Linked DNA regions of Lonchura striata. Each later gene encodes a partner of the first gene's protein in a complex. Links are inferred from orthologs where the notes say so. Each region holds a gene or a part of one and is shown on either strand. Other genes may lie near its edges.

What was found.
Region 2: the proteins of EIF4E2 (region 1) and TARS1 are in contact, whole or in part, in a crystal structure (PDB 5XLN), measured with the Homo sapiens proteins. The link is inferred for Lonchura striata from reciprocal best matches to the Homo sapiens genes EIF4E2 and TARS1. Residues at the interface, in NP_004837.1 of Homo sapiens: His54, Pro55, Leu56, Gln57, Val91, Glu92, Phe94, Trp95, Arg96, Glu149, Asn150, Leu153, Leu156, Gly157, Glu158, Gln159, Met161, Val203; in NP_001245366.1 of Homo sapiens: Pro51, Glu52, Tyr53, Ile54, Tyr55, Thr56, Arg57, Met60, Tyr61, Ile63, Leu64, Glu67.
Region 3: the proteins of EIF4E2 (region 1) and GIGYF2 are in contact, whole or in part, in a crystal structure (PDB 5NVM), measured with the Homo sapiens proteins. The link is inferred for Lonchura striata from reciprocal best matches to the Homo sapiens genes EIF4E2 and GIGYF2. Residues at the interface, in NP_004837.1 of Homo sapiens: His54, Pro55, Leu56, Gln57, Tyr64, Arg66, Asn81, Lys83, Gln84, Ile85, Gly86, Thr87, Val91, Glu92, Phe94, Trp95, Arg96, Phe97, Ser99, His100, Met101, Val102, Leu107, Phe113, Glu149, Asn150, Leu153, Leu156, Gly157, Glu158; in NP_001096616.1 of Homo sapiens: Leu38, Ala39, Asp40, Tyr41, Arg42, Tyr43, Gly44, Arg45, Met48, Leu49, Leu51, Phe52, Leu53, Asn56, Lys57, Ile58, Pro59, Asp61, Leu62, Asp64, Glu66, Phe67, Pro69, Ile70, Leu71, Gln72.

What each region holds. Positions count from the first base shown.
Region 1 is NC_134612.1:18,512,766-18,520,155, reverse strand, and holds the start of EIF4E2 (eukaryotic translation initiation factor 4E type 2), read left to right. Parts: upstream 1-4,335; 5' UTR 4,336-4,399; coding exon 4,400-4,419; intron 4,420-5,156; coding exon 5,157-5,271; intron 5,272-6,378; coding exon 6,379-6,513; intron 6,514-7,390. UniProt on the Homo sapiens protein: Recognizes and binds the 7-methylguanosine-containing mRNA cap during an early step in the initiation. Acts as a repressor of translation initiation.
Region 2 is NC_134642.1:38,636,753-38,644,014, reverse strand, and holds the start of TARS1 (threonine--tRNA ligase 1, cytoplasmic), read left to right. Parts: upstream 1-4,217; 5' UTR 4,218-4,238; coding exon 4,239-4,259; intron 4,260-4,500; coding exon 4,501-4,581; intron 4,582-5,402; coding exon 5,403-5,593; intron 5,594-6,549; coding exon 6,550-6,673; intron 6,674-7,262. UniProt on the Homo sapiens protein: Catalyzes the attachment of threonine to tRNA(Thr) in a two-step reaction: threonine is first activated by ATP to form Thr-AMP and then transferred to the acceptor end of tRNA(Thr).
Region 3 is NC_134612.1:7,096,053-7,103,026, reverse strand, and holds the start of GIGYF2 (GRB10-interacting GYF protein 2), read right to left. Parts: upstream 3,021-6,974; 5' UTR 2,933-3,020; intron 2,069-2,932; exon of another isoform or gene 2,042-2,068; intron 1-2,041. UniProt on the Homo sapiens protein: Key component of the 4EHP-GYF2 complex, a multiprotein complex that acts as a repressor of translation initiation. In the 4EHP-GYF2 complex, acts as a factor that bridges EIF4E2 to ZFP36/TTP, linking translation repression with mRNA decay.

The DNA.
Region 1 (7,390 bases):
CTAGGACTAGGGATGAAAATCCTGGAAGCCTGGGTTTGGGATGAAGTTTGCTGAGCTCTTTGTCAGAGGAAAAGGGGAAATATAGATCTGTATGTGCTCATTACATAGACTCATTCTCCTCATTTCCAGCCCTGCTTTTTCTGCTGGAAGTTGCAGTTTCCACAGTATGAGAGGTTTACACAGCTGATGCTTTCACACTGGAGCCTAGAAGATCACACCTGACTCATTGATCTCCTGCTAACCCTTTGTGTGAGAAAGTGACAGATAAGAGGTTCCCAAATTGTGCTGATTCTGCACTTTCCTGTAGGATGAAGTCTTGCCCCGACTCATTCAAAAGTTTCTGGAAGAACAATCCCCCAGTGTGTTTATTGATTTCTGCAGTCTTGGCTATTTGTGTAATCCCATGCAAATCAAGAGTCAGTGTAGCAAAGGGCCAGAGCCTACAAAAGAAGTTAATTTTCAGCTTGCTTTGTTTGTAGTCATGTTTCTTTGTGTTCCACTCCCTTCTGCCATCAAATGGATGTGCTTTTTGGATATTGCTTCACTACAGAGGCTGTCATGTGCCAGAGGCTGCTCAAAGGATCCCAGGTCATGGCAGAATTCCATGGCATCTCCTGGCCTCAGGTGAGCAAGGGCTTCCCTGTGATTGTATCAACACCTGGCAGGATTCCTCAGTGAGCTATGGCATGGAGTGGTTGTTCTTTGCCAAGGCACAGAGAGGAAGAAGAGCTCTAAAATGAACACTGAGCTCTGTTGCAGCCAGCACTCACTGCTGTGCTCCTCTTCCTTCTCAATAATGATTCCTCTGCAACTATTCCTGGCTTAGTCTGCCTACAGACCCTTGAATGTCCTGTAACAGCTCTCTTCACAGAGACTAGCCTGACTTTACATATATAATATGCAGCATCAAATTTGCCATGGGGCCAGAATCAGGTTTTTCCTCTTACCTTATGCCTTGGAGGGCTTTTTAATAACCCTGATTTCCTGTGTTAGACTGGGCTGTAAGAACCATCCAGAATAAACAGGACAAGCTGACATGAATGTGGCTTTGAGAATTACAGACAAGTGTTGACTTAAAATTTAGGAAGGAACAGGTCATTTGGGAAAGACTTCACTTAGAAAACTTAAGAAAAATTGTATTTAAGGTAATTTAAATCTGCCAGAACTGAAACTGAACTACCAGTGGAAAGCAGGCAATCGAGAAATGTATGATAATGGTCATCTTTGACACACTTCCTTGCAAGATAATTTTTAAAATAATTAAGTTGTCATGCATTTCCTACAGTCAGACAAGTGACAGTTGTGGATCGTTGCAATGGTTAGGCACAGTTCAGCTGTGAACATTCAGCCTGTAAGTGTTCTGTGAAGCCAAGATGTTCCTGGCATTCCCCTGCTTGTATTTCCAGGTGCAGCCCCAGGACACTTCCCCATCACTGCTGAGGCCCTCGGGAACTTTGCTGATGAGAAGGCTGCTGGCAGAGACACACCTGCAGGATCGATGAGCTCTTACTAAGGCTGAGATCAGGCACCACCAGAAGAGCTGGGTGACTGCACAGCCACAGGACTTCAATGCTGCATGCCTGAATGAGATGTTAAAGCTAACAAGTAATTGTCTCTTAGGCAGATGCTACATATTTCAAATGCTTCTAGTTAAAGTATTTCCAGCAGCACTCCTGCTTCCTCTCCTCCTTTTTTTCCTGAGAGATGGCTGAGCTATTTCTTTCTTTGAATTCAACCTAAAACATAAAGAGAGTGATGCTGTTCCACTCTAGGCTGAAAGAAAACTTACTGTGCGCTGTCTTCCTTTTCAGCAAGATCATATTTTTTAACAGAACAACAAGGCTGCTGCCTTACCAGCTCCACCAACTCTGTATGGGCCTGTGATGAAAAACAGATCTGTTGCTGGGAATTTGCTATGCCTTAAATCTCACTGCCTGTCTCCTATCTGCAGGCAGAGGATGGCACGCTCTCTACATTCGGAGTGCAGTGACCACAGATCTCTTCAGAGCGGGCTCAGACACCACCTTCACTTTATGCTGAGCACTTCATGATGGTGTAGCTGGAAATCCAAGGTGGGAAATGTGTGTAGCTGCACGTGTGTTGTGTCCTTGCTCATGGCTCATGATTCAGCTACCCTGATCCTCCACTGTAAGATGGCTTAGGAATTTCAAGTTCTGCACAGAGTCTGCACATCAACAATTCTTGAATGCTCATTATTAGCCCTTTTTTTTTAAATTCAGAATGACTCCGAGAGGTGTCAGATGCTGTCATTTGCCCATCCTGTGGAATTGTATATAAGGACTGAACAGCCCTGCCATATGCAAAAGCAGCTTTACCAAGAGACTGTGTGTTACAGCAGCATGAGTGAACCCAGGGTTTGTGGGGACCCAGTACACCACACTGCAAGGCTTCCCTGTCACCGAGGTCTCTTAATGCCACTAAGCTTTGGGTACAACCCTTAGACAAACCAAAGTCAGGCATCACACCTATGTTTACATTTTTTCCCAGGCTGCAAAACTACCCAAAGGTGAGTTTGAACAGCTCATGAGGAACTCTTCACTGGGCATAGGATGCTGGATGTTATCTATGTGCTATAATATGAACAAATCTGTACTGAGTTTGCCTCTCTTGTTGCAGAGATGTTACTTTTACCATTTTTCCATACAGGATTTCAAGCTAGGTCAGTGTATAAAAGTATTAATATAATAAACTTTGGTTTCCTTTAAACTGGTACAAATGAAACATAAAACCCACAGAAATTTCAGGAATGTATATGCAATTTATTGTATTAGCGGAATACTTTAAATCCCTATCCAACCTGATGTAGGTCATCTTCCCAATAAGACCTATGTGGTTTTGCGGGAAGATCAGAATCCAAGCTGGGGGTTTTGATCAGTGTGAAGCCTTCACTTCTGTGGGGTTTAGTGGTGTTCTTTCTGTTTTAAGTTTGATAACTGTAATTACTGTATCCTTTGGTGCTCTTTAGGAGTGCCTAATAATTTCTAAATAAGCTATTAGGTAGGAAATAACAGAGTGTGACCCTGTTTCTCACCCTGTAATAATTACTTGGCACTTGTATTGGGCAATTTTAAGAGAGTGATTGATATCTTGGCAATTTTTATGAAAAGGATCTCTTTATGAACAGGTCTCCATAGCGATTTGTGTAACACATTATTTCTGAAATATTTTGGTAAACTGCTGGTCTTCAGAGCACACAGATCCCATTTGGGGATCCCTTTTGTTACCAACCAGGAAATTCTGTATGAGTGTTTGAACTGTTTCTGCTACTAAATATTTCTAAATAATCTTCCGTGACTTCTAAGGTTATGAACACACGTCTGAGCCCTTAAGACAACCGGATGGGAAGGCCCATGGTAAGAATATTTAGCCTAGGGCTTGGGGGGCCCTTTCCCTGTCCTGCCATACTCCTGGGATTTCAGGAATATTGCTGAGACACTCATTGCCTTTGCTTTCAGATAGTAAGGCAGGAATAGCAGTGTTACATTGCTTTACAAGAATTAATACACTAACACACTATAGGATAGAGGATATGCAGTGCTTTACATATGGTTATACATACCATTTTTTTTTAATGCTCCTGATCCACAGACTTATGAGAGATATTAGTTGTTCAGCATAAATAAGTTTTAAGTAGACTGAGTTACACCAAGTTATAATACTGTGGATATAATACGGGGTTGTTCCTTTGCTTGCTTAGCATGAGTACCTAGATTACATAGGCAATGAATTTTTACTCTTTCCACATCACAAATTGATATAGAAACAGAAGCTACAGCACTCAGAACTCTATTTACTAACTCTGCCAGATAGCAGAAATTTGCAAATTTCAGAGATTTGCAAAGCACTGTGAAAATTCTGTACTCGGAGTAACGTGGGAACAGATTCGTGAAGTGCAAGGAGATGCTGAAAGAGGGACTATTGCCTTTATCCGCTATGAACTGTCTATTATCACTTCAGGAGCTTGCAGACTCATTACTGGGACTTTTTCCCATTTTCTGTGCCATCCCTCACTGCACATGAAGGAAACATCAATGGGGAGGGAGTCGAGCTGGGGTTTCCTGTTGCCACAGGAGGCAAGGTGGGAAAATTCTTAGAAGAGTAACTGTCTGAGTCCTCAAACTGTATTTACGGGAGCACAATTAATTGCACGGATAAGTTGAACTCTCTCCCCAGCCCGCCCCTCACGCCACACCCAAGATGGCGGCCGCGCCCTGAGGGGCGCTCCCGCCCCCGCCCGCCGTGCGCCGCGTTACGGCTCCGGGGGGAAACGCGGGCGGTGGTGGCGGAGCCGCCGGAAGCGGCGGAAGAGTTTCGCGGGCGGACTCAGCAGGGCGGAAGTCGCTGAGGCGGACGGGGGTGGCGGCGGCAGCGAGCGACGATGAACAACAAATTCGACGCGTGAGTGTCGCCCCCGAGCCCCCCGAGCGGCCCCCGGTGCGGGCCCTGCACCGCCCCGAGCCCCGCCGGCGCCTCCCGCCGCTGCCCCGGCGTCGGGCGGGCGAGACGCGATGAGTCACGGGGCTGCGCACAGCCCCGAACCTGCAGCCGGGGCCCGGCCTGGCCCCGAGGGGACGCGGGACCGGGAGGTGTGGGCGGTGGGCCGCTGGCAGGCCTGCACCGCGGAGTTGCGGACCGCTTTGTGGCTCTGCTTGTCTCGCTTTTTTCCGGCCCTTGGCAGGGAATGGGGCGGGCGGAGAGATCTGTGGGGTGCTGGGTGCTGGCGCGGTGTCTGCTCGTCCGAGGCGCTGCCTGTGCAGTGCTGGGGGCCGTGGGGAGCGGGGTGGGTAAGACTCGGCAGAGGTACGGTGAGAGGTCTTCGTGTGGGCCCCCTGAATAGCAGGGAACTTGAACAAGTAACCGGGGTTTCCTGTGGCAGATCAGTATCCAGCACAAACCACTTGAGTTTGTTCCAAAAAGCTGTTTCGTTGTTCACGTCAGCTTAAAAGTGCTTGCCCAAGATGCCTGTGATGGGCATGAAAGAAGAAGTAGTTTTTACTGTGTACGTTGTCAAGTGTAGATATCCAAACTGTGGTGGCCCTTGTACCACGGAGGAGCTTTGGAGCAGAGAACTACCTGGGCTTGGTATGGACCTTCTCAGCTGTGTGATGGCTCTCTTTGTTATTTTTCTTTACCAGATTGAAAGATGATGATAGTGGAGACCATGACCAGAATGAGGAAAATAACACACAGAAAGACAGTGAGAAGGAAAAGAACGATCGTGAGAAACCACAGAGTACTACCAAGAGGAAGGTATGGTGCTGGCATCTGCACTCCACTGCCAGGGCATGGTATGGGAGTGCTGGGGAGTCAATGCTCAGCTCAGGGATAAGGGAAAATATGTCTTGGGGGGCTGTGATATCAGTACGTTGCTACTGCTGCAGTGAAGACAGCAGCACTACGTTTGATTTTGGTAATTTGATGTCACTTTTGGAGGTCTCTCATCTGAGGGGTGAGTGCTCCCATCACTAACATAGTGGTACCCTGTCAGGCTTTTTAATGGAAATGAGTAATGAGGCTTTATTTTCATCCAAAAACAAATTTTGAAGAGGATGTGGGGAAAGGACTCATGTCTGACAGGACAGTAGTACCTTGAAGGTGGTTTAGCAGGCAGTGTTTGTGACACTCTTGAAACACCTTTTAAGATGTGTCCCTGTGTGTAAGGTAGCCTGGTGAAGAAAGCATTGTGTATATATCTCCCCTGGTTTGGTTTATTTTTATATCTTGTTCAGGAAAATTTCTCTGTCTGAAGTAATGCAACCCTTGTAAACTTGCCGAAGTCAAGAGGAAAGTAGAGATTTAAGCCCTGCGAACTCCTGTAACAATATCAAGTAGTACAAATAAGAGCTTTGATTGGGGTATTCTTTGTAAGTTTTGACTCCTGGCTGATGAGCTCTCATTAGCCTCTTTTGTGCTCATTAGAAGTATTTTTAATCAGAAATCAGTGTTTTGGAAATTAAAAAGTGATTGCTGCCCGCTGCTGGTGATGGGTTCTGCCAAAGCTGACATAACAAGTTCTTAGGTTAATCTTCCCAGAGCACTGGGGTGTTGGTTCCTTCAGGCAATTGGTGTCATCAAAGAGTTTAATTGCATTTGAATCATGATTCATTGTAAGTGGGGTTTATCATTCCCAGAGGAGGAAAGTGTCTTTTTTTTTTTCCCTTAATTTGAAAAAGTTCAAGGTCTCACATTTCCTTTTTAGTTGTTTTTTTTTTTTCCCTTTGAGACAGGCACAGGACTAAAAAGAATTCATCCACGATACCTCTGATGGCTCGAATGGTTGCTTTTATATGCTGTAAATGCAATTTTTCCCTTTTTAGAGGAGCATGCGAGGGGTAAACAAGCTTTTGTGTCCTGCAGGCTGTGGTGCCGGGGCCAGCTGAGCACCCCTTGCAGTACAACTACACCTTCTGGTACTCGCGGCGCACCCCCGGGCGGCCCACCAGCTCGCAGAGCTACGAGCAGAACATCAAACAGATTGGCACCTTTGCCTCCGTGAGTACCCCCTGCCAGCCCCTCCGCTGGGCACAGCCTGCTCCCCGTGCCCCGTGCCCTGCTCCCCGTGCCCCACTCCCCCTGCCCCGTGCCCTGCTCCCCGTGCCCCGTGCCCTGCTCCCCGTGCCCTGCTCCCCGTGCCCTGCTCCCCGTGCCCCGTGCCCTGCTCCCCGTGCCCCACTCCCCCTGCCCCGTGCCCTGCTCCCCGTGCCCTGCTCCCCGTGCCCTGCTCCCCGTGCCCCGTGCCCTGCTCCCCGTGCCCCACTCCCCCTGCCCCGTGCCCTGCTCCCCGTGCCCTGCTCCCCGTGCCCCGTGCCCTGCTCCCCGTGCCCCGCTCCCCCTGCCCTGTGCCCTGCTCCCCCCGTGCTGCCTCTGTGCACGCACAGGCCCTGCTCCTGGTTTGCCAAGGCAAATGAGCTCTTGAATTGCAGCAGGAGATGTGCGTTTAGCACTTCTCCTCTGCCCTGTGCTAGACCTCTGTGGTATAATGAGAAAAAAAAAAAAAAAAAAGAGTAGCCATGTCATTTATTTATGGCTGGAGCATGAGAAGAAAGGAACAGCTTTTCTGTTCCATTTCTGTGCTGTCCCTCACGCACTTCACCCACATTCCCATCACAAAAGCTGTGTTTGGAATAAACATCTGGCACGCTGTATTTACCAACAGCTGGTGACCTGTTGTCTCTCTGGAAGTGATGGACAAGGTGCCGTTTGATGTTGCAGTCAAGTTCATTAAAAGGCATATTGCTCTTCCTTTCTTCCTCCACTCTGTGGTTACTTGTTCCTGGAATAAACTTGAGCGTGTCCTGGACAGGCGGTCTTGGGTTTTTGCATGGTGCTGGCAGAGTAAATATGCCCTCAAGGACCCAAGATATGTAAG
Region 2 (7,262 bases), on another chromosome or scaffold:
AAAACCTTGTTTTAATTTAGTTACAAAAACCAAGGATGCATCCAAGATCCAAAATTTTGGCAAAAAATATATCAATGTGATTTTTAACATGGTATTAAAGGACAGTCAAGAACATGTGATTTTAATTTTTTCTTAGTTTATCATCCCTCTTCCTCACTACACAAAATAGCTATCACTTAATTTTTCTTGTAAAATGACCGGTGCCTCACTGTTTGATAACCTATAAACAGGAAATGGAAGGTAGGGGCTTGGGATCCACATCTCACAGCTGAGTCATAAGACAAGAGTGGAGACCAGAATGGGAGTCACATCTGCAGACAGCACATCTTTTTCTGAGACCATTATCCAAAATAAAAGCTTTAAATGAAAAACAACAAGAGTTTTAAGTGCAAATCCTACTGGAAAAGAGAATCACAGAATAGGAAGAATCTGCTGTTATATGGTGAAGCAGGGGTAGTTCATCCTAAAGGTAGGAGTTTGGAAAAGTATCTTAATCCTAGATACATCAATTCATAATTGATTAACAAATCACATGTCTGAGCTCTACAAAAATAACATAGGAAAGCGCTGAGTTTGTTTGGATGCATGCACACTTATTACTTTTTATGATGTGAGACAAAATATTGCTGGCTCAGCTATACATGCTAAATGCTAAAACATTTAACCAAGTGAACTAGGGGTAAAATTGAGATGCGGGGAAAATGAGACATGAGTATGGTATGTTTGTTATGAAGAAGGAGAAAGCCAAATCTTGTTTTACTGAAGGGAGGAAAAGCCAGGGAGGGAGGGAAGGGAAAATCACCAGCATCACCCTCCTTTTAAAGGCTCAAGGACTCCTAGTACAAGTCTATTGCTCATCTGATGTCATGGAGTGAAACCTGGTTTGAAGTTTCACCTGGAATGCATAACCTCTCATCTCAGCACCTGTAACTATGAGCAGTGAAACTAGTTGTCTCCTGCATTTTACCCTTATTGTTCTTTACACAATGCACCTTTATTCTTTACTCAAAAAACCTGCCTGGCCCTAGAGAACAATTTGACCCTGAGTAATTTGAATGTATTATCTGCACTGCTGCAGGTATTAACTGGGTGAGAGGGGAAAGTGAAGAGGACCTGCATTCTGGGGGACAGAAATGGGATGAGGCTGTCTCCGTGATGTGTGTTTTCAGCTTGCAATGGTTCTGGGATTTCTGCTGTTAGTGAGAATTTTCTCCCTAGCATGCACAAGCATGTATCTCTCCTGCAATAGCAGAAACAAGCCCAGTATTTGGGGAAAATTTTAGATGCATGAAGACTACAAACAATAGTGGCTGTACACAAAGCCATCATGGATATACCACCAAACCAAAATTGTCTTTTTTTTTGTGTGAAATACCAGTTATTTTTCTTGACCTCCTAAAAAGATAAATATTTTAATAAGTCACCAGAAGCTGAAGTAATATCAAAATTCAAGGCTTATATTTCACGTTCTTCACATGTTCCAGTTTTAATCAGGGTTTCAGTTATTTTCACAATATTTACATTTAATATCATTTTTTTTTATTCACCTTCACACATTTTTCAGTTTCTAAATATGCATTTCTACAACTGTTATACTAGACTTCTAAAAAGTTTACTCCTTTGTTACATTAGCTCAGGAGAAATTAATACTAGAGATGACTGAACAAAAGTATGTCAGTTCTTAAACATGAGATTCTTATATTTGTATGTTTTCTTAATTTTGAGATAATAACTCTTTGCTTGAAGTGGGCTTATGGAAATCCATTGGACCTGGAATTCAAATGATATGTGTTGAACTCTCAACATAAATGGGTGGCATTCATACAATTTTATTTTCAAATTCAGAATTTGTGAAATTAGCAAATACTCTACAGTGAATAGAGTTGATTTAATGTACACAAATATAAACAAACCCAGACATTTTACAGAAAGCCTAGTGCTGCATTACAAGTCAGATAGTTTCCCTCGAGCAGCTGATGCAAGTAAATGGTGTACATGTGTTACACTCATTGCTCTAAATTTGTATTTGCACTTTGATTTAACTTTAATGTTTGGTTTTCCTAAATGAAATATAAGCCAAGTAACCCCACAATTCCACTAGAAATTTCTGACCACTTTTTTCCCAACAAACTTCTCATGATCCCAAAACATCTATTCATTTTTGATAATCATTAAAGCACACTGAAATAAATTTTCACTATTAGAGCATGGCTGAATTTAGCTGTACATCATTAATTGCACTGCTTAAGAGCGAAGTCAGTAAAGCATTCACTTAGTTTTGTGCTTTTTGCCATGAAACCTACTTCCTAAAGCCAAGAGCTGAGCGGAATTTATGTCTCAGCAGATCAGCGTGTTTCTCTGCTGCCATCTTCTGGCACAATAGACAGTTCTACAGTTTCCCAATCGCTTGTGAATAGTTTTTTCTCTTGAACACCATCAGTATATGTTTTTGTTCCATTTTGGCATAATATAATTTATCTATAAGTTTTGCAATGTTCTGTCTCTTAGGCACTTGTAAGTTTTCCACCTGAAAAAGATTTTAGGAGATTTGCAAATATAAAGATTAGTATTATAAAACAAATGCCCTTTGTATTACTCAACATTGTATTTCTACAAAAGATACTACATATATTGTTACATTTAGCTGTTTAATAAATGTTTTTGCCAATATTTATGCTGTTCATTCAGACAACAAATGAACTATCCAGATCTAGGCCTAATTCTGTCTTTAAGTTCTTACTTACTACACCTTCCCATTTTAATAATAGATTAAAATACTTGCATTATTTTCTAAGCTCCTCCATTTGTGGAGAAATAGCCCAGTGACATTCTCTCAACCATCCTTCACCACTAGATAACGACATATTTGAAAGCTATATAAAACATCCTTTTTTTTTTTTTTTTTTTTCTGAACATTTGTCTCATAGCACTTAAGTTCATGGAGGATAAGGTGCCCCAATACCCACCTGGGAACATTTTACACACTCTAAACTCCCCAATCACTGCTGCAGATGAAGAGAAGGCAGCTACTTCAGGAGGCAGAAGGGGTGTTGGGTCCTCTGCTGGCAGCAGAAGTCCATGGCAAGACCTGACCCATGATTTACGCTTTTCTAAGGATGTTATGCCAGGATTTCCTGAAAACACAGAACCTGGTAATGAACATCTTGCTTAAACTGAATGAGTTCACTGGTAGTATGCCTAAGATTACCAAACACACAAAAGACCTTGGGACTGGCCACTCTGGGAGTCCACAGCCACCATGAGGTTGTGCTGCAAGATAGTAACCTTCCTAAATGAAAATATAATTGTTATTATAACCTGAGAACAAGAGGAAAGAAGAGAAAGATGATTGCAGAGCAAAAGCCATGCCCGAATATCACATCTTTTCCTTAGAGGCATCTGTAGCTTCCAAGCCACTGAGCTGAGGCTTCCCTGGGGACAGCTGCAGATGCTCCTGCAGTTCAAGTCTGACAAAACCACCTCAGAATCTCTTCTACATATTTTTCGTCCTCCCGTGGGAAACCAGACAGTGGTCAACACGATTTTTTTATTTCAGTTTAGTCTCTTTCACAAAGAGGACTCCCAATTACTGATCCATCCTTGACTGAACCTCTGTGTCAGGGGGAAAGGTAGCCAGGTACACCCTGGGCTCTGGAGTGAGTCCAGAGAAGGGCAAAGGAGCTGGGGAAGGGTCTGGAGCACAAGTGTGATGAGGAGCAGCTGAGGGAGCTGGGGCTGTTTAGAGAAAAGGAGGCTCAGGGGAGACCTCATCGCTCCCTACAACATCCTGACTGGAGGGTGTTGCCAGGTGGGAATCCACCTCTTGCCCCAGGCAACAACTGTGAGAAGTGGACCGTCTTCAGCTACGTCGTGGGAGGTTTATGCTGGACATTAGGAGGTATTTCTCCGCAGAAAGGGTGATTCGACACTGGAACTGGCTGCCCAGGGGGGTGTTGGAGTCACCGTCCCTGGCGGTGTTCAAGCAAAGCCTGGACATGGCACTTAGCGCCATGAATGAAATCTGACAACATGGCGTTCGGTCACAGCTCTGATCTCGGGGATCTTTTCCAACTGAATTGATTCTATGATTCTTCCCGCGACAGCGAGCAGGGCGCGGACAGCCGGGGCCGCAGGGCGGCCGCTCGCCCCGCCGGGCCGTGCCGGGCCGGTTGCATCAGCCGCGGCCCACCGGCGCCTGCGCCAGCCGCGCCCGCCCCTTCCCGCGCGGCTCCGCGGCCATGGCGGGCGCTGACAGCCAGGTGGGCTCCGCGCCGCCCTCGGCAGAGGGCAGCCGGGCCTCTTCCCCTGCGCCTCCCCAGCTCCTGGGGGCGGTGGGGTGTGCCCCACGGAACCAGGGAGCTGGGGGGGACGAGGAGGTCGGGTCTTTCCCGTCTTTTCCGGGTCTTTTCCGGGTCTTTTCCGTGGGGCAGGGAGGAGTTAAAGCACCTTAGGTATGAGGGACTGCCGGGGCATGACTTAAAGGGTGCTCGCCCTTCGCAGGTGGTCGCTGGGGAAGAGAAGAAAGCTGACTGCGGGAAGAAGAAGATGAAGGAAGGGGCTGGCGATGGAGGGCGGTCGGAGGTAAGCAGCCCCTGGGCCGCGGCGGTGGGAGGATGCGGAGTCCTCGTTGCTGCCCTGTGCGCTGCTGGCTCTGCTGCGGCTCGTCCTTCTGAAGTATTTTATCGCGCGTTACAGTAACACCCCGACAGCGTGCCTTGTAACGCCATTGCTGGTGTTTGCATTAAGTTGCGTCGGTGTAATAGGAGAACAGCTCAGATTCCCATAGCTGGGTTAGGTTTATGCTTTTCCCTGTGCCTCTCTGCAGTGGAAAGCAGGCAGCATATCGCCAAGGTGAAGAAAGCTTTCTTAAGGCGGTTTCGTTTTTCTCTTCGCGGTGGGTAAACACAGATCCCTTTGAGTCCACGGAGGGCCAGCTGCTAGCGCTTGCTCCTGGGCCAAGTGCATGGCTGTGCCCGGACGGATGGTCCTGACGTCATTACACGTGTTTAAACTGGAGTCAGTTCCTGTCCGGATGGCTCAGACTAGAGTGTTCCCTCAGCTTTTTGACCTAATAAGAAAAGTCTTGCTTTATGTCGAACTGACACAGTTTTCCTAGTTAACTTTTGTCCATGTGTAGTTTATTTGATGGTGTAGTTGTTTGGTAAGGTGGTTTATTGAACAGGTGTATGGTAGTACAGATTTCATTAAGCTGAACTGTGTGGTATGACATAGTTAGTACTATATAACCTGAAATAATGGTGATTATCTGTGTTACATATAGCACACAGATATCATCACGTAGTTGCTTATGAAAACTATATCTGTTGTATTGGCATTCTTGATATGATGTCTGTCATGTTAATATCTGATTAGTCATTTTCCTTTGTCTTTATTATGTACAGCTAAATCCTTGGCCTGCATTTATCAATGAGCGTTTGGAGATGTACAATAAACTAAAGGCTGAACATGACGCACTCCTTGCAGAAAGAGCTGCAAATGACAGTAAAACCATTAAAGTTACGTTACCCGATGGCAAGCAGGTTGATGCTGAATCTTGGAAGACTACTCCTTATCAAATTGCATGTGGAATTAGGTATGTTTCTGTTCTGTGATGCTACACAATCATTTTCAGACAGTTGAGTTTAAGGGGCTGGGTATTGTATAGTTTCTTTGTTATGTATCTCAAGTCTTCTCATAGCATCTTGGATGATGAACTGAAGGTAAACACCAGGGTTTTAGTTTTGGAGTGCAGTTTTCTTTTGCCTTATGCAGTTTCTAACATTAAATAAGAATAAAGCATTCTAACAGTGTATTTTTACATCCAAGTACTGCTGTTGCATTGAGAACTAATTTGCTAATAGATGGAATGTTAGCATTGCAAACCAATTTGCATTGACCTGAGGAAGATGACTGCTGAGTGATGTTTCAATTGACTACAGAAAAGTTTAACAATATGAGTATTCGTCACTTTAGTTTGCATGGGAGATATTTTTGAATCATTCACAGTGAACACCCTGACAGTTAACATTACAAAGATTGGGTGATTCCTAAAAGTGAAATGCCTCTCTTTTTCTTCTTTTTTTTTTTTTTTTTGTTTCCTGTCCATAATAAGGTGCCATATCATTGGAACCTCCTTTGTTTCTCTGATTTGGGATCATGAAAAGAGTATTTTGCCTAGTGGATATAAACAGTAAAGCTACTATGTCAAAAATGGTATTTGGTAGCTTTTAAGAGAGTGGTACTCTCTTATATTGCAACAGGACTGGGAAGTTAGGTTTGTACTTGGAGGATGCTGCCTCTAAGTCAAATGTGTGTGATAGTTAAGTATATAGCACAATTTGCTTCCTATATCCCTAAAATATAAGTAGGATTTTTCATCAATGTTCAGGACTGGCTAAACCGGTCATTTATTTTGAATTTATTATATCCACTCTGATGAGCACTCTAAAATCTTATTCAAACTGGAGGGCAAATCTGGGGAGCTTCTGCTTGCTGATTTCAAAATACCATGTACTTTCTTATAATTGTACTTCTGTGTTTGTTCTGTAGTCAGGGATTAGCTGATAACACAGTTATTGCCAAAGTGAACAAGGTGGTTTGGGATCTAGACCGTCCTTTGGAGGAGGACTGTTCCTTGGAGCTGCTGAAGTTTGAAGATGAAGAGGCTCAAGCAGTGAGTATCTTTTGCCAAAATGTTTTTTGTTCCAAGTTTACATTTGACTTACCTTCTTGCAGTTATTTAAATATTTAGTATGTTCACAAGATGAAGAAAAAGGGGTTTGTGGTTTAGGTACTTCTGCATTTTCTCACAGCTCCTTACTGGAAGAGTTGTGATACTAGAGATAATGTACATTCTGCTGTGTGTGACTTTTAGCAATGTCTGCTTGTGTTTGCTGTTAAAAATTTGTGTTTTCACCTGTCATGTTAATGTAAAGTAGGTATTTTTAACTGACGTCTTCAGCACTGATTTTGGGAACAAAACTGAGTACAAAAATACTTTCTATGTAGAATCATGAAAGTATTGAGTAGACTACTCTTTTTCCTTCTGTATGCAAAAGTATCTACTTTTTTATTTTGGCTACTCAATCAGATAAATGTGCCCAGCCAGTAAATTTAGGATTATGTTCTTTAGAAAAAAAATTAGTTTCTACAATAAACTGTCAGTCAAACTCATCACATAAGTCTTACATTCAAACTCAGGGTTTTTATATTGCTAAATGACAGCTCCCTATTTATGATTTCAATTTGTGCTAACTAAGGCA
Region 3 (6,974 bases), about 11 Mb from region 1:
AAAAAAAAAAAAAAGGTCCAGAATTGAGAGCAAGAGACACAAGGAGAGGCTAAGCTGGGCTGGAAACTGACTTCGTTCCTGAAAGAGCAAACCCCATCCCCCTGCAGCATTTCACACACCTTGCATTTCAAATGTCACTCTATGAATTAATATAAATTGATGAGAAAACCACACAAAGCAAGAGTCTCTTTCAAGGCAAATGCTTCCTCAGTAAACAAAGAAAAAGGTTTCTCCTCACCAAGGCATCCAATGGCTCTCTAGCAAGCTCTGTAGGGAGAAAGCTCCCTTGCTTTGCCCCATGGCTTCATCTATAATCATGAATTATGTATAGTTTATCTCCACTAATATTTGAGCAGAAGCACTGAAGGGGAAAAAACTAATAAAAAAATAAAAATTAAGAAAAAACTGCTAGGAAATGGATTTTTTGTTTGCTAAATCAGATTATGAGAGAACTTAATACCATACTTCGAAGAGTCCGAGGGAAGAATTTTGAAGACCTCAATGAAAGAATAAGAAACATATATATGACAGTTACTTGAACTTGCAAGACCAGACAAAAGTAGGCAAAATCAAATTTCACATTCTTAGTAATCAAAATAAATAAACAGAGCTGGGGGGGAAAGGGGAAAGCACAGATCTTAGTGCACAGCTCATCTTCACCAGCTACTGTGAACCAGTGTTTTCTCTTCGAGGTTTAAAGAGAAAGATCTTTCAGCAGAGGGATGTACCAGCACAGCCTTCAGCCACTCAGCTGTCCCAACAACTTGTTCCATGGGACTCTTGACATCTAGGGTTGTTTTTATTTTAATGAAGTATATATAGAGCTTAAAAAACTGCTGGTGTTTTTTTTTTTTTACATCCAGGTATGAAGAACTCCAGTTTGTAGCAGAACTTCATTCAGACAACTGGCCTTAGCAGAGAGATACAGAGTGCTGCTTAGGTTCAATTCCTTAAAAAACCCAAAACCTACTTTGCATTCCCTTTTTACACAGCTTTCTTCCTAAACTGAATAGTAAAACAGGAAGGAAAAAATTAATTACAAAGCCCTCAACTGTCTACAAACTTTTTTTTTCACTTACATAATCACAGGGCTCATAGCTTTAGTTTAATGTATATTTTAGAAACAGAAGCAGAAATGCTAATAGGAGTACCTCAGGATATTTTACAATGCCAAGGTCAACACCTATTAAAAAAGAAACAGTCCAAGTTTTCATTGTGGTATCAAATTTTTTTTAAGCACCCTGTGAAACAAATAATTGCTTCTCCAAAAACACACTAAATTTTAGTTCTATGCTCCTGCTTTAAAACACAGGCTCAAGAAACCATTCAGAAAAAGGCCCCAAAAGAAATGCAGTGACCAGGTGTCCTCAGGCATATTCCTGTATCCGGGGGCTGGGAGAACCTGAGAAGCTCTTTAAGCCATTCAACCCCAGTATTTACCCACAATATTGTCAGACACTGAAACAGTTTATCAAAGTCTCAACATAAAAGGTGACATCCAACTTCCAGGACTAAAATTCTGCCTTCTCTTTAATCCAGCAGACTATTAGACAGAAACTTTATTTTTTTTTTAATCACACATTCATTCAGAAATTAACACCAACACACAACCACTGACATCAACTGACCTGTTGAACTACATGAACCTGGGGAGCAAAGCAGGTGCAGAAGGGGCCATGGACACTCAATATTTCTGCTGGCACCCCCAGGATTAATTAGGTCACACATTTTCACACCAGCATCAGCTAGCTGCTCATAGGATACCTATTCAAATGCATGGCAAGAAAACCAATACCTCATTGCAATAAAGCTCTTATTATCTACTGCAGTCACCACCCAATAACAAAACTTAAAAACACCAAAACAAAGCTTTTGTTGGCGACAACTGCAACCAATTTTGTTTACAAAGTTTTCCAATTATCACATTGTGTATCAACCAAATGCTCCATTCACATAACAGCAAATTAATTTTTGTTTATTGAAGAGTTTCTTAAGAACAAAAGCAACCAGCAGAGTCATAAGAAAAAAAATTCACACGTACTTTCCAGGAACTTGCCCAAGTCAGCTCCTGAAGCAAGAAAAATAAAACGTGCAGCAAGAAGTTAGAGGAATATAATCAGAATCCAAAAGTCCTTTCCCCACCCACCCAAGCAAACAGATATTCAAGAATTACAGTAAAAGCAGCACACCACAAACGTTGAACTGAATGTTACTAGGGGAAATGTGGATTTTTATTGCAGAAGCACTAGTGGGCAATACCTCTTTTGTGCCTACACCTTGTGTCAATTCAAAGTGCAATCATAGAGAACTGCAAGAGCCATAAGTGCTCTGTTGACACTGAAACTACTTGTCTTGGATCAATACCAAACGTACACAATTCTGATCGATGCTCTCTTCAGCCTGCCAAGGCTTCTCCAGTCAAACACTGCCGGTCACCGCTGCTCCCAGCACCCTGCTGCCTGCGCGGGGGAAGGCTCGGAGCTCCCTCCTTCCTCGGCCAGTGTAACCCGACAGGGCCGGGCGTGCTCGAAGCGGGGCTCACCGCGGCGCTCCCGCTGGGCTGGGAGGGGACGAGCGAGTTCACAAGGGTCAGTGCGAGGGGAGACGGCCCCGGAGGGCGGTGAGGAGCGGCCCCGCCGCCGCCTGACAAGTACCAAGGACCTGCACGGAGAGCTCAAGGCCTGCTCGCCCCAGCTCCAACGACCCCTGCAGAGGCCCATGGGGAGCGCGGGGGGGCCCTCCAGGCGCACCCCCCCACCCCCCTGGGCGGCCTCGCCTCCCGGTTAGGCCGCGGGGCGCCTCGGTGCTGCGGCAGCCGAGGCGGACGGGAGCCGCCGGCAGGGCCGGTGGTCAGACGGGGCGCGCGACGGCGGGGGCGTGGTGGGGACGGCCGGGGCAGCGGCGGGGCCGGGCGGCGGCGGGACGGCGTTACCTGCGCTCCCGGGCGGAGAGTCCCTCACAGCCGCGGCGGCTCCTCAACCCAACAACACAAGATGGCGGGTGCGCCGCCACGCAGCGTCACGTGAGGGCGAGGCCACGCCCCCCGGCCCCGCCGCGGGACCCGGATGAAGCAGAGGCGCTTCCCGCCCCCGTGTGACGTCATCCCGGAGAGGGGCGGGTCTGCAGCGCCCCCTGCCGGCCGCGCGGGCCCGCCGCGGCCCCCCCAGCCCTGAGGGAGATGGCAGGGCCGGGGGTCCCCGCGCCTCCCGCCCTGCCCGCAGCCCCGGTAATCGAACCGCTGCCTCAGTTCCCCTTGCACCCGGCACTGGTAAGGCCGCACCTTGAGTCCGCTCTCCAGATTTGGGCCTCTCAATTCCGGAAGGATATTAAGGGCTGGAGCACGTCCAGAGAAGGGAACGAAGCTGAGGAAGGGTCACCAGTCTGACGAGGAGCAGCTGAAGGAGCTGGGGGCGGGACTCAGCCTGAAGACAAGGAGGCTCAGGGGGGCCTCTCCTGCCCTCCACAACTCTCTGTGGGAGGAGGGTGCAGCCGGGGGCTGGGCTCTGCTCCCAGGGAACGGGGACAGGACAGGAGAACGTGGTCTCATGCTGCAGCAGGTGAGGTTTAGGTTAGACACTAGACAGAAATTATTCACAGAAGGGGTGATTAGACATTGGAAGGGGCTGTTAAGAGAGGTGGTGGAGTCCCTGTTTCAGGAGGTGCTCAATGAATACCTGGACTTGGCACCCTGGTCTGGGTGATAAGGTGGGGAGCAGTCTCAGGTTCAACTCGATTATCTCAGAGGTCTTTTTCAACCTGGATGATTCCGTGATTCTGCCACCTTCTCACACATACACACAGGCGGCCTCAGCAGCGCAGTGTGGCTCCCAGCCTTATCTGTTTCTTCTGTGTGGTTCCATGAGGCAATTCCATTTTATCGATGGCCACAACAATCTCTGTGAGAAGCCACCATGTGTGAGCACACAGTGCCCAGGCACCGAGGGCTAGACCTGCTCTTGCCCGGGCACTGGAGGAGCCCTGAGGACACTTTGCCGTGGGAGTCACCCTGGGAGGCAGTGGCAGCAGCTGCTGTTGCTGCTGAAAAGAGAAAGCGCATTAGATGATACATATTTTGACTCTTCTGATGGAAAAATCAGCAGCTCAAGGCAAACTTTCTTCAGCTAAAAATACCAGTTTATTTTTAGTCCCCAAACCCATATTAGTACATGAGGCAGAATAGCCCCATGTGGTTCCTTCAGCGTAAAAAACTATTCTTGGCTGTTACGCATTGCTGAAGGTATAACCGTTTTCAGCTGAAACAGTTTCACTCTAATCATGATGTCAGCCACAACCCATGTAGCTTTCTCCATCCTCTTCTAGGTGAATAAATACTTGTCATTGTGTACTGAATGATAGCCAAAAATGATGCAACAGTGAATACTACTGATTCTTATGAGCTAATGGGTTGAAAGCCTGTAATTCTTGGGGCTTATTTTTAGCTGAGAGCTACATAGGACTACCTCACCCAAAAAATCTAGAATGGAATTTCTCCATTAGGAGGCTGGTATGGAAAAGCAAAGCTCCCTAGAAAAGGGCTGGCCTCTGATAAGCTGCATTCAATCCCCCTGGTTGTTGTCACACAGTTTGAGCCAATACTAATAATGATAGAGAGAGACAGTGCTGCATTTCAAGCTGTCAGTGAGAACTTCCAATTTCATTGCAGAAGCAGCTGTGCCTTGTTATTCTACTTATCAAATGTGAGTTTGAGCACTCAAAAATATTTTCACATGCTCTAAGACAACTTTTATCTGAGATGGAAGATGTTTAGCACTTGTGGAAATTTTTTTAATCCCAGTTAGCACAAACATTATATTACTGAGACAAAAAAATTCAAATTCAAGAAGCATCTGAAACATTCCTAATCTGCAGAACTTGGCATTTCTGTAAAATACCTCTAAGGAAACTCAGATGACAATCTTTTGGTAATAGCAGATGCATCTTAAATCTTCCACAACTCATTCAAGCAAAACAGAGAGAATCTCATGAAAATTCAAGACTGTACCCGTGTGGTAAAATTCCTGACTGGCTCAATGACAGAATGTCAGCTGATATTGTGTAGGTGTGAAATCACCCCAGCAGCCAGTCTGGGTACCAAGGGCATAATGTACTTCAGAGCCCTGGATTACTGTGCCAATTCATTCACACTATTAAAAACCCAAGAACAGGGAAGCTGCCTCCCCAACAAACTACAAGCTTTCCTTACTAACCCCTTGTTTTCATCCATTCTGGCTTGGAGGCAAGAGCCCACCTCCCTCAGTACACTGGTCGAGTTATGAACACAGAACACAGCTTTGAAATGATAAATAATGATCACAAAGCAGCCCAGAAGAATGTGTCAGAGTCATGTTTCCCCTTGCCACTCCTGCATTTTGTTACTTGGAAAAGTGGTTCCCCTGCTTGTTGAAATAACCAGGGATTTTGTCTGGGAAGAGTCAATATGTTCTCAGCAGCCTCTGTTTTCCATGTCCTCATTTGTCACATCCCTAAAAATAATGAAAACAGCAGCAAAGCAGGCAAACATCCAACTGCAGTTTTTAAAGTCAGTCACTTCAATGCATTTGTCACCTCAGGTGGCTTGTACTGAAAGACAGAGTACCACAAACAAGCTGCTACTTCTGCAACACCCAATTACTTCTGAATGTCTTGGGTTTATTTGGACACTCGCATAAGGTTGAAGTGTTATTTTGTCACCTTAATCCTCACACATAAACCCCAAACCCTGTGCCAGGAAGAACTTGATCACACCATTTCTCTTTCTCTGCACTGTGACCACACTAAGCTCTTCAGGTGAGACTTCCTGCTGCCATAGGCTGTCCGCTGCAGCCAATGGCAATGACTGTGACAGGAGCATCCTTGAGAAATCCACTGCAATCTGAGCATCCAGACAGGCTGAACCCACCTTTGGTGCTGGCTGAAGTGCTAGTGACTCCTGTCTTGCATTTTGCCTACTCTGGGCAAACTAATGTTTTGTTAAACAAAATCCCATCAGAGATCAAGGACTACCTGAAGTTCCCATTCTAGATGAATGACTTGAGGCAAGTATTTATCCCTTCTGAGAAAGACCACCAAGTGCAACAAGTTTTTCATCAAGCTTCTCTACTTGCCGCCACCAACTTAAGAGTCACTTGTGGCATGTCAGAAATACCAGAGAGGCATTAATATACCAGCAGGCACCACTAAAGAGCTGGGATTGCCAGGACCTTTGAGAGCCACCTGTGGTGACTCAGGCATAAAAGAACAGAGCATCAAGGATGTAGTAGATAAATTACAGGTAAATACAACTAAGTGTTTTCACATGGTTTTAGGTGGGAGATACAGCTAGACAACTTCTCTTTAGTACTTCTACACAATCTAATGACACTGTTATCAAATCAAATAATTGCCAGTAAAACAGAACAATTTAGAAAGTGATTCATTTCCTAATGTCCATTTTTGCAAAGCTGATGTCAAAACGCACATTTCTGCAACTTCCAAATAAATGCACGTCCAAAAGCACTTATTGTTCATTGCACTGAATGCAGGTCCCAACTAGCAGCACCAGTTTGAATTGAACAAAACCATAGACAATGATAATTTCCTTACTGAAACTTGTCAGCTAGAGTTGACTTAATTCTATTAAAATAAAACCACTGAAAAGCCTTTTTTCACACTCTTCTCCTGCAGGTTTGGACTCCTTACCCAGCTGCATGTGCAAAGCAGCACAACTCAGCAGTGCTTGCTATGCTGTAAAGAAAAAAAAAAAAACAAAAAAACAAAAAAAAACCACCCCAAAATAAAAATCAAGAGCTGCAGTGTCACAATTTTCCTGGGGAAATAGAGACTAAGGAACCTTCACCCAGATATTACCTGACCTCTGAGACCTGAGGATTCATAGACACAGTGAATGTATTGGCATAGAGCAGAGATACATGGGATAAAATATTTATATTGATGAATATGAATATATATATTTATATTCATCTATATAAAATATA